Caenorhabditis elegans: one gene and its partners. The protein of the gene in region 2 interacts with the protein of the main gene of each other region in a pairwise test. Each region holds a gene or a part of one and is shown on either strand. Other genes may lie near its edges.

What was found.
Region 1: the proteins of lin-2 (region 2) and ndub-10 interact in a two-hybrid assay, tested with the Caenorhabditis elegans proteins (3 studies listed by BioGRID).
Region 3: the proteins of lin-2 (region 2) and gmeb-3 interact in a two-hybrid assay, tested with the Caenorhabditis elegans proteins (4 studies listed by BioGRID).

The regions. Positions count from the first base shown.
Region 1 is NC_003279.8:10,517,588-10,521,344, reverse strand, and holds ndub-10 (NADH dehydrogenase [ubiquinone] 1 beta subcomplex subunit 10), read right to left. Parts: upstream 1,986-3,757; 5' UTR 1,985-1,985; coding exon 1,828-1,984; intron 1,440-1,827; coding exon 877-1,439; intron 795-876; coding exon 732-794; 3' UTR 584-731; downstream 1-583. Other genes in the region: UPF0598 protein F59C6.12, read right to left, coding at 183-244, 287-369, 416-474; exos-3 (Exosome complex component RRP40), read right to left, coding at 2,184-2,423, 2,473-2,749, 2,801-2,964; nlp-4 (Transthyretin-like family protein), read left to right, coding at 3,443-3,445, 3,493-3,637, 3,687-3,757.
Region 2 is NC_003284.9:12,412,419-12,416,175, forward strand, and holds the start of lin-2 (Protein lin-2), read right to left. Parts: upstream 1,624-3,757; 5' UTR 1,608-1,623; coding exon 1,534-1,607; intron 1,483-1,533; coding exon 1,370-1,482; intron 568-1,369; coding exon 384-567; intron 1-383. UniProt on the Caenorhabditis elegans protein: May play a structural role in the induction of the vulva. May be required for the localization of signal transduction molecules (such as let-23 receptor) to either the basal membrane domain or the cell junctions.
Region 3 is NC_003281.10:3,766,871-3,770,627, reverse strand, and holds gmeb-3 (SAND domain-containing protein), read right to left. Parts: upstream 2,129-3,757; 5' UTR 2,081-2,128; coding exon 1,940-2,080; intron 1,725-1,939; coding exon 1,550-1,724; intron 1,500-1,549; coding exon 1,403-1,499; intron 1,222-1,402; coding exon 1,025-1,221; intron 970-1,024; coding exon 781-969; intron 711-780; coding exon 379-710; 3' UTR 300-378; downstream 1-299.

The DNA of each region.
Region 1 (3,757 bases), on a different chromosome or scaffold from region 2:
AAGATTCTGTCGAATTATTTTATAGAAAGAATTGGAAACATCAATAAAAAAATCCGGCAGAAATCACAGTTTTTAATTACAGTACTCTTTAAAAGCGCACACCTTTTCTCATTCAACAAAAATTGTCGTGTCGAGACCGGCTACCGTATTTTTGTTGATAAATCGCAAATTTCGCGTTTTACCTCATATCTTCCCGTCTTGTTTTCCTTGATCTTTCTGTAGAAGAAATTAAGAAACTGAATATCTGAAATTTCGATTTGTTAACAGTTTTTCCTGTAAAATAAACCTTTATAAGCCGCTGTAAAATTCTTCATTCTCGAATCGTCCAGAAATAGGAAACCATTGTGGCTCACATAGTAAAAATATTCTCTGAAAACTCAAATTCAAAAAGAAACAATTAATTTAAAAATAAAACCTTATTTTTCCGTTATACTGCCCCTGTGTGTAGAGACTTCGTGCAAATGTCAGTATCATTTCCGAAACTTAAAAAAGTTAAATTTTGATTTAAATTAATTTGAAAAGAAAAGCTGACTGGTAATATTTCCGTTTCTCATAAATTCATATTCAAATCTTTATAAATCAATCAAACAATCTACATTTATTCACTTTCTGAATGGAATAAAAGAACGCAACATGAAAAAGAAAAAAAAGTTGTTACGACGGAATAAGAAAACTCAACACAATTCGTTCTAAAAAATTTCATTGAAAAAGAAAAGATTGACAGCGTAGAATTAGAAGAGACGGAAGTCGGACTTCTTTCCTTGATCCTTGTCGAATTCTGGGTCTTGTGAGACCTGAAAATATAAAATTTTAATTTTCGATCCAGGATTCTCTCGTAGCTTCTTTTTTAAAATTAAATCTTGAAAGAATATTTACCTTCTTGTAGTATTCCCAATCCTTGGACAATGGCTTGTCACCCTCGAGTGCTGACTTGCTCATTTGGAACTCATATGGTGGCTCATAGTTCTTCTTGTCTTGATAGAACATTCCCTTCTTCCAGAATGAATAGTCAAACTCTCCATTAGCAAGTCGTGCTTTATGATCAGCAAGCTTAGCTGCACGCTCATCCATAATCTCTGGATGACGTCGTTCCCAGATCATTCGATGCTTCTGCTTCATATAAGCATCACGAACATCGGATTCTCCTCCCAACTCTCCGTATTTCATGAAGAAATTCAACTCATTCTCTTCCATATCCTCAATAACCTTGGCACATGGTGAATGATCAGGATTGTTGTAAAGCATACACCGATCAACACGTTGGCGGAGGGTTTGCAGAATAAATCCATCGACCATTTTATCAAGACGGTACTGCTCATTGGCTTCGTAGAAGCAGGCCTTGTCGTTCACTCCGCATTCGTCGATTTCCGGAACACGTGTAAGTTGACGGTGATAGTAGGGTAGACGGTTCTTGTTGTTGAGTGGTTGCACAATAGTCTCTGAAAAGCTGACGAGTTAGTAGAATAGATTAAAATGGATTGTTTTGCCTAGTTGATTTATTATGTGGAACTGCAACTACTAACTGTACATCAGCTTGAGGTAGTCGAATAACTTTGGTTTTTTTCTAGTTTAAAATTATAATTTACAGCAATGATATGGGAATTAGAAATTAACCTTTACTTGCACCACAAGTTCCCAAATTTTTTGAATCTGGATAAAACCGTAGACAGTATCAATTACTTGGAATTAAAACAAATGGTGAAAGTAAATAAACTTGAACGAAATTTGTTTTCTGTCAATTCTTACATTTTGTAAATGGTTTTAAATCTAATTTCAAAGCTGCTTCTTCTTTAAATGATTCTCCAACTTGAGAATTTTAAAAATTACCTCTGAACCAAGTTGCTGGGGCGTCGAAAGCCTTATGGGCATAATAACGGAATCGTGGGTAGATGGATCCTCGTGAATCGATATCACGAACTTTCCAGTAAGCATCCCAAGATGCTTTATCGTCAGCTTGACGTTGCTCCACTAAGCCTTCACCCATACTGAATGTCGAAAATTTTCCATTGTGAATTGAGAATATTGAGTAATAAATATTAAAACAACGAAGAAACGTTGAAAATTGAAATATTACATAGAACAAGACGATAAATTAAATTTTTAAAAAGTTCAACAACAAAAGGAAAAAAAAATCAACAATAGCAGGAATTACACTGAAAAATTAAAAATTGAGATAAAGATTCTTAATCACTGACAGATCGTGTGTAATTATTCTGAACCAGGGTGATAAGCTCATCTTCGTCAGTGATAAACTCTGATTTATTGATAATATCGTGAATCTTGATAATATCATCAGAAGTCGAAGCACTAATCCAGATTCTTCCGTTCATTCCAACAGTGATTTCGAATTTGAAGAACTTGCCAACAGTTTGAAGAATTTTGCAAGATGGGTTGATTAGTCGACGACAATGATTCAAGGAGACCTATAATAATTTTTAAATTTTACAATAAATAGTAAATTTCGTGTCTAACTTTGAACATGAATCCTCCATTTAGCTGTCCCATTCCACGTGCTCGTTTCTCGTCATCCACACAGGTAAGCTCTGCTTCAGTTCTTGGAGTTGTGTCGAAAACTGTTGCATAAATAATATCTCCAGTTTTTAGATTCGGCCTATTCCTTTTAGTAGCACCTTCGAAGTTAGTAAAGTTGATCATGGCGTATTCGGCAGTTCCTATGTCCAAACGAAAGAAATCACCAGTTTTTGAAGTGACAATAGCGATTACTCGGTCTCCTTCCTGTGGTATATATCTGAATTTAAGAAAAATTGTGATTTTAAATGTTGTTCGTGATCATTCTTACCTTTTGCTGTGAACATTTAACCAGACTTTTCCATCATCGTTGTGGAAAGCTCCAGGTTGAGTGGCAATTCTCGTTTGGCCACGTACACTAATTCCGTAGCCAATGATTGAGGAATCGCTTGAAGAAGGTTCATTGATAACGTCGCCAGGGAGATATACGGTCATTTCTGAAAATTGAATACTCAATGATGAACAAAATAACGTTTTAAAAAGTAGTGGCGAATAGAAAAACCAAATTTAAATACCGCAGGAGGAATAACGTAATAAGCTACGTTAATAAAGTGTTTTCAATGAGTATATTAACTGAAAATTGTAAATTTTTGCAATAAAATTAATCAAAAAGTGATAATATTTCGCAAAATAAACGGAAAAACTAGAAAAATAAGAAATAAAAATGGAGCGGCTGTTGAAAGTCTGCGACTTGACGTGACGGTGTTTGCGGTGTTGTATACCGTACCCATTGATTTTTATTTGATATGTTGGAAATTGCAATTAATATTAATTGTCAAGGACTAAAAGAAAAATAACACTGAAAACATAAATGCGTGGCAATTTTTTAAAATAAATATCGACACGTACACCGAGAAAAATTTAGTTTCAAATACAGTTCAACTGAGTTTTTAGTGGTCAAACTGGTTTGTAAATGGTATGTAATATAGTTAGGTTTTTTGAAGTTAAAGTTTTCCCATTCAGCTAGTTGTTGTTCTTTCCGGTATTATTGCCACGTGTCTGGCCGTGAAGCAGACAGATTTTTCCGTGCATATCAAAGGACAACTTGTGTGTGATGATGTCCCTGCTGCCAACATGCCAATGGACATTTTTTCTGAAGCACAAATGTGTAAGAGAGTTTGAAATCGTTCAACTGAATCTAAAATCTTTACTCTCAGTCAGATACGAAGATTTTATGGATCGATGGACAAACGAGAAAGGAGAATTTGATTTCAAAGCCTATGTGACA
Region 2 (3,757 bases):
TTTGATTAAAGTAGTCTACTGAGTAATCTGGTGAAATTTCAGAAAATTTGTGGATCTAGTTTTTGAAAAAAGTTCAAAAATGTGCCATTTTTGTCGAATTTTCCTAATAATTGCCTAATAAATCGAATTTCCACTTTTATTTAGGAAAATAATCGTTGTTATATGTGATTTATCCATTTTAAAAACAATTTTGTATATATTTTTGCAGTTTTATCCATTATAATGTCTCATTCATCGAATTTCAATGATATTAAAAATTTAAATTCAAATTTCGCGCGCTTTGCAGCGGCCATGGCCTAGGATTCTCACTTTTCACTTTTCGCTAGGCCAGATGTCCCAATTTACACGCCGTGACACACAGTCTATATTGTAAAAATACAAACCTTACTACATATTCAGAAAATACGAATCCATTACTTGCTCTTTGAACTATTTCAAAACAAATATCATTTCCCTCCATGTTCTCAAAAATGATATGTCGATAATGAACGCTGTTGATAGTTTTTTCCAGTCGGCATATGTAAGGGTGCTGTAGATTTTGGCATATTCTAATTTCCTCGTCGATTTCTGAAAAAGAGATGGTTTGGAATGAAATAATTATATTTAGATCGGATTCGGTAAAATGATCAAAGTTCGAAATGACACATGATGGCTGATAGATTGATTGATGAATTGGGATTGGAGCTGCTGAGCTCATGAGATGAGAACTTTGAGGACATTTTGTGCGCTTCTGATTGGAAAACTGGTGGCGAGAATAATAATATCCGCTGCGGGGACTTTTTTTTTCTCAATTTTTAAAAGTGCACTCAGGTTGTTTTTTGAGAAATTTTTTATTCTTCAAAATCCACAATAAAGGTCAAAACATAACTTTAAAAAAAAAGTGTATTAACCACCTGAATTTGTTCAATTCGAAAAAAAACATCAAAAACTAATAATTCAGTCTTTTGTGAGACAGTGTGTTGAAACGATGACTTCCTGTTTTTAAAATGTTGAAACTTTTCTTTAACGGTCTCAATGGTATTTGGATGAAAACCAATGAAATTGGATATTTTTATTCTAATTAACTTTTTTTTAACTGCATTTGAGCCTCCTTTCGAAAGATATTAGTTCATCACTAGATCGATTAACATTACAAAAACCTATCAATTTTTGTAAAGACAAAAAACCAAAATTAAAAAAAGACTTTATCAAAATGGGAGAAAACTATTTTTGATACTTGTATAGTAGAGCAACTACAGCTACTACAAAAGTACACTGCTTCAACTTTTGAATTGAACAAATCATTTTAGTAGGTGCGTAGAATTTTTTTGGAATACGACTACTACATGTAGTCGTACCCCATGTAACAACTGTATAACAATAATTGTACCTTCAAATCCTAACCCGGTGTGCTGTCTGAACAAATTCAAATTGATTGATCTCAGTAAAAATTTTCGATTTGATGGTCCATGAAGTATTCGGTATACATTTGAAAATGGACCTCTGGAAATTCTTAGTTATTTCAAGAATTAACTGAATTTTCAAAAATCTTACTGTTCTATCACATCCCGGATCGACAGTTGTTCATCGAGGAGAAGGTTCGACTCGTCCGGGTCAAGCTCCCTCATTCTGTTTTAGCTGAAAAATGCTGATAAACGTGAATAAACAAATGATAAAGTTGAAGAAAAAAAAGAGATAACCAGAAAAAAACTCATAGGGACAGTGAATGATTATTAAATTGAAAAAGCATATCAGGCTCGCATGAATATTGAAATAGAGAGACTGGAGAGAAAATGGCAGTTTTTTGGGTCGGCGGCGGGGGGGGGGGGGGGGGCTCTACGCGTTTTCTTTCGGCCAATTTGATTTGATCGTTAGGAGGAGATATAATGTCAATAAATGATTGCAAGAGAGATTCATGTTTTATCAACCCCGCAACATTCTTTCGAGAACTAAAAAATTGAGGATTTGAGGTGGTACTTGTCTGATGGAAAATCTCATGTTGCGGTCTTATAAAAAGAGGTAAGCATTACGTCATTAATTTTAATGAACTTGAGTGCGTGGGGGACGGAAATCGTTAAACTTAGGATTTTTTCTTGTTTATAACATAATATTTTCTGCAAAATGCAAAATCAAACCATCCAATCTTAAATTATTGAAGCAGAACAACTATGTGAAAGAAAGTTTGATTGCGGCATGGCAGAGGAAATCAAGACAAATATGGACACTTTTCATCTTTTCCACCTCTAGTTTCCTATTGAAACGCGGCTGTATTTGTCATTTAGCAAACATTCCTGAATTTGCCGGAATAGTATCGTGTTTATTCAAAGTTGGCGGGTTAGCCAGATGTATTTGTAACAAAAACAGTAAACAGATTTGAAATCTTTTCAAAACACTAAACTTTAAGTTTGAGAGATGCTGAAAAAAAATTATTTGATATGAAAATCGTAATGTAATGTAATAGAAGCAATTACGTGCATGGGTTTTACTACGATCAATTACATAGAGAAACCTACATTTTGATTTTCCTACGTTCTCAAATGACTTGGGATCTAATTCTAATGCTCAAAACAATAACTCCTTTAAGGCTAACAAAGCCATTTTTTAAAGTTTTTTTTTTCAAACAATTTCGGTTTGCATCTTTTTCTGCATACTCTTTTTATTTCCGTTTCATACGTCTACTTAAAACTTTTTGAAAAATTCATTTCCATTTGGTGCAATAACTTCAACCAAAAAGTGTAACTATTCAAAAAATAATCGAGATTTATTTCAAGGAAATAACATTGAGCACAATAATTTCATAAAACTACCATTTTGTGCAGAGCTATACCAAAAACATGCTGAAAATATGTTTACTGTTAAGGTTACTACTAGTCTCAAATTTTTGACATATATATATATACTTTTATAATTTTTTTTTAGTTTGTCAGTTTATTTTAATCTGTATACACTAAACTCTTACACAATTTAAGTATTTCGCATTTTGTCACTACATATATTCCAGTTCACATTGAAGTTATTTGGAAGTTATTGCTTCTGAAATGCCCAATATATGTATACTCTGATTATACCATGGTTATTTTTTGTTTTTAATGGAACTTTTAAATTACTTATAAACTTTTATGTAATGGTTTTTACGTTTTTGTTTCAAAAACAATTTTAAATTGAAAAAAAAACTGAGTAGACAAAATTGAAACACCAACTATACATCCCAGTCTTAAACAACTATCAAAAACCGCGAAATATTAGCTTTGTGAAAAATTGGGATGCAAAAATGTTCAATTATTAGTCTCTCCATCGAATATTCAACAAATAAGGTGTTAGCAAAATAATGGGAAATAAGAAGAAAAAACAAATTTAATTAAAGAAGAAGACATAAATAACTACATAAAAAGGAAGGGATGAAGGAAAGATATTACATTTTTCTTTTTTTTTTCTTGGATTTGTAAGATATGACAAAATCTCAAAGCAGAAAGAAAAAACGAATAAATATGAAAAAAAAGAAAATATGAAGTTTTTTTTGACACCGGAAAAAAACTGGATGAAAGAGGCTCGACAAAGAGTAGAAAGTGGATGTTATCTCTCCCAGTCTCCAGAGATACACAGTTTTATGAGTGTCGGTTGGGTGAGTTTGCAAGATAAACACGATGAACACCTGTTTCTATGATGCACGGACGATGCAAAACAATTCATTGGATGATACAGCTCCGTCTTGATGGAGTCGATGGAAAGTGAGAGGAAGAAGAAAGAATTGTGGAAGAGCACCAATTTTTTGGCTTCC
Region 3 (3,757 bases), on a different chromosome or scaffold from region 2:
TTTTTCGTCTGTCAATCTATTTTTCGTCTGTCAATCTATTTTTCGTCTGTCAATCTATTTTTCGTCTGTCAATCTATTTTTTCGTCTGTCAATCTATTTTTTCGTCTGTCAATCTATTTTTCGTCTGTCAATCTATTTTTTGTCTGTCAAGTCGTATATTAATTTTTAATTTTTAAAAATTATCAAGATCACCCAATAAAAAATGTGGTTATTTATATGCCTGTAGGTCAGTTTTTTTATTGAACTGGAAGCTTCTGGGAAATAGAACAATTTTGTGATTAAATTCTGAAAGCACTTAAAACTTGAAAAAATCTTTTATTTAAATACTAGTACTGGTACGAACAGTACAGAACAAAAAATAATTATTATTAAAATCTATTAAAGATCCTCCAAAAGATAACTGCATCTAGGTTGATTATCCAAGTCGTCAGCTTCAGTTTGAGCATCTTCTTGATATTTTCCCTGGTCCTCCATCATTTCATTTTGCTTCTTCTGTTCATTCACATTTCTCTCGATCGATTGCACTCGATTCACAATCGGCTTCTGGATACCAAGAGCAAATGTGGCACGAGTCAGAACAAATGCACTATTTTGATTCAAGGATTGAGTCATTGCAGATTGTTTCAGATTGATAGCACCGGCAATTATGTCATCACAGAATTGAGAAATGAAGCCGCTTCGCTTGATTTGAGACCAGAAACTCATTGGATCTGGAATCATTTGGAAGTTTATTTGATAGGTAGAGGCAGTGAAACTCGAAAATATGCAAAAACTCCTTACCATTTTGCAGACAACTGTAAATATCCTGAGCTGGGCTGCACACAGGTCTTTCTGGAGCTGGGGATCTTGTTGAGAAAGCTGGCTGGAAGAACTCTTCAAAAACAAGCTGATCTTCTGATTCAACAAAGTTGATTTCCAGCTTTGCCTTGTTTTTCTTGCCTGCTGGACGCCCACGACCTCTTTTCTTGACTGAAAAAATAGGATTTCCTTAAAATTAAATGCACCATGATTTTTAAAATATTACTTGGCTCTTCACTAATTTGTCCACTACTTTGCTCCGTTGGCTCAGATGCATCATCTCCGGAAGCTAGAACATCTTCGAGGTGACGTTTGTTAACTGGAGCTCTGCCCGTTGAGTTCATGTAGTTGCGACTTTGGCACTGTCCATGACAGATACTCTTGTGATTATAGAAATCGATGGTTTTGTTCTCCAATAGTGTTCTGAAATTTAATGAATTAAAACTGGAACGTTAAGAATTAAACGTGGCTAGCAGTCCCAAGCAAAAGGTTACGATTAAGCCCAAACCTAAGCCTAGCACATAACCTAAAACCGAGGCCTAAGCCTAAGCATACGCCTGAGCCTAAACCAAAGCATACAATTTATTGATCTTTCTGCACTCACCTCAAGCTAACATTCTCCACACGAATACACGCCTTCCAGTCTTTCTGTCGCCCTTTTCCACCAAGTTCCGTAAATTGTTTCGGAGTCAGATACTGTGCTGAAATTCCAGAATAAATTCATTCTCTCACATTATAAAAGCCACCATACATTCATATTCGATGCAAGCCTGACGAATTCCGGGGCACCTGAACAATTTGAGATGCATAATTCCTTTGACATATCCACAGGTAACCGGCACCGTGGTGGCATTTAGAGGTACAATTGGTGTCCAGATATGTTCAGATGGAGTATCCAGGTAAGTATAGCTGAGTTCCGATGCTTGCTGTAATATTTATTTGTTATTTTCGAATTGCTAATTGGAGCCAAAATGGCATTTTTCGTATCTCAGACAGCAATGTAGGTGCATTTGAAGTTTTCAAACTAAATTGAAGATTTTTTTCGAGCCAAAAAAGTATTTCCGAGACTAACAAGACTATTTCAATTTTTGGAAGAATTGTTTCCAAAAAAATTGTCTCAAAATTTCACATCCCAACTCACATCATACATATTCTCCTGAACGCGTCTCCCGTCTATCTCGAAATTTGGATCACTTGGAACCAGCATCTCTTCGTTTTTCATCTCACTGGTTGATCCGAACTCGGGTTGAGTAGAGAATTCGAAATCATCGTCGTCACACATTTTTCAGGTAATCGATGAATAAAGATGGGCGACCCGACGCGACACGATAATTTCTGACACGCAACTAGTTTTCCGCCAGCTTGGATCTGTTGGCTTCTCGCGTGTTTTTGAATATTTTTAAAATAAATTAATGATTTTTTTTTTGAAAAGTTAAGGCATTTCAATGATCAAAAATATCATTTATACTGGAAAAATTGCAGAGAAAAATCCAAAAAGTATTGTGGTATCGTAAGCCTTACTAGGGACAAACAATATGATTATTAAAATAGATGACTGCAGAAAAATTAGTTTCGGAAGAGCATTTTGAACTAGCAAAAAAATGTTTTTCATAAGAGTTTTTTTAAGTTCTTGCGAGGCCCGGTAATTTGCATGGAAGCTTTTTTTTTGAAAAAAAAATCAGCTTCTAAAATTGTTTACCCAACTAAATTCAAAAATTTCCAGATTTTTTTCCAGTACGTTTGTTGTGAAGAATTACACAGAATTCAAAAAAATGCTCTGCAAAATTATTTGAAATGGGATTTTTTCTGAAACATCCGGTGTTAAACATTTTTACTATTTTTCTGTTACACAGGGTAAATCATCCTCCACGCCATCCCATTACAATGAGCACTGTATTTGAGCATATCCACATTCCATTAAAAGTGGTGGGTGACCCGGACTTGTACTTTTACTTTTTGAAACCGCAATTCAATGATCTAAATACCCATGAGAGGCCCGATAATGAAGGTGATTTTATACTTTTTAACGAACAACGATTACCTCATTCGTCATATGACTGGAGCCTGGAGCTAGCTACAATTTTTACATTTAAAATGTTTTTTTTTGTTTTGAAAATTAACTGTTTGCTTGTTTTTTTTCATGTGCAGTGGAGAAACATCTGGAATTAATTTTTAGATATATTTTTATGTTCTAGCTAAGATATGATTTTTTTAATTTTAAAATATTAATGGGTGAATAGGGGAATACCTATTCAATGAATTGCGGCTGTGCATGAAAAATCGCGAAGTGGAAGTTATATATTTTAAAATTTATGAAATTTCCTAAATTTTCAAAATTGTTAATTGAGCAGGCGACATTGATTGTGGGCTCCATCTCGGCATATCCAGGGTACTTACGCAATACTGGCTAGTTTATTGTAATGGTACGGTACAGTAGCGTTACTAAAGCAAGCTCTTCTTGTTTTTTGACTGAAATACTACAGTTAGGATCCACGCCCAAAAAAACTGAAACTCTTTTTTTGCTCATTCCCAGTATCAAAAGTAACAAACTTTAATATGATAGTATCTTATTTTGTTTTTGTTCAAATAGATGGTTGATATCGTAAAAGCGATAGTGGGAATGCTTGTTTTTCAAGTTTTAGTTTCGAATTTGGTTGTTACAAAACTAAGGTATGATAAAGATGTTCTGCTTTACTTTTTTGGCCAAAAAAGTATCAAAAAAAAGTTTGAAACACAGATTCCCACCACTTTCAGCCTGTCTTAGAACAAATTCCATTTTCTCTTGCTGATAAGCTGTCTATGAGAGAGACACTATTTACATTACCTCAATATACTTGCCATAATGTTACTTGGTTTTGAAACTTAATGAATCATAATACGTTTATTGTTGCATTGAGTCCCCCCTTTCAAACAGGCGGTCCCCCCTACCTTATGTGTCCCTCCCCACCAGCCGAACCTC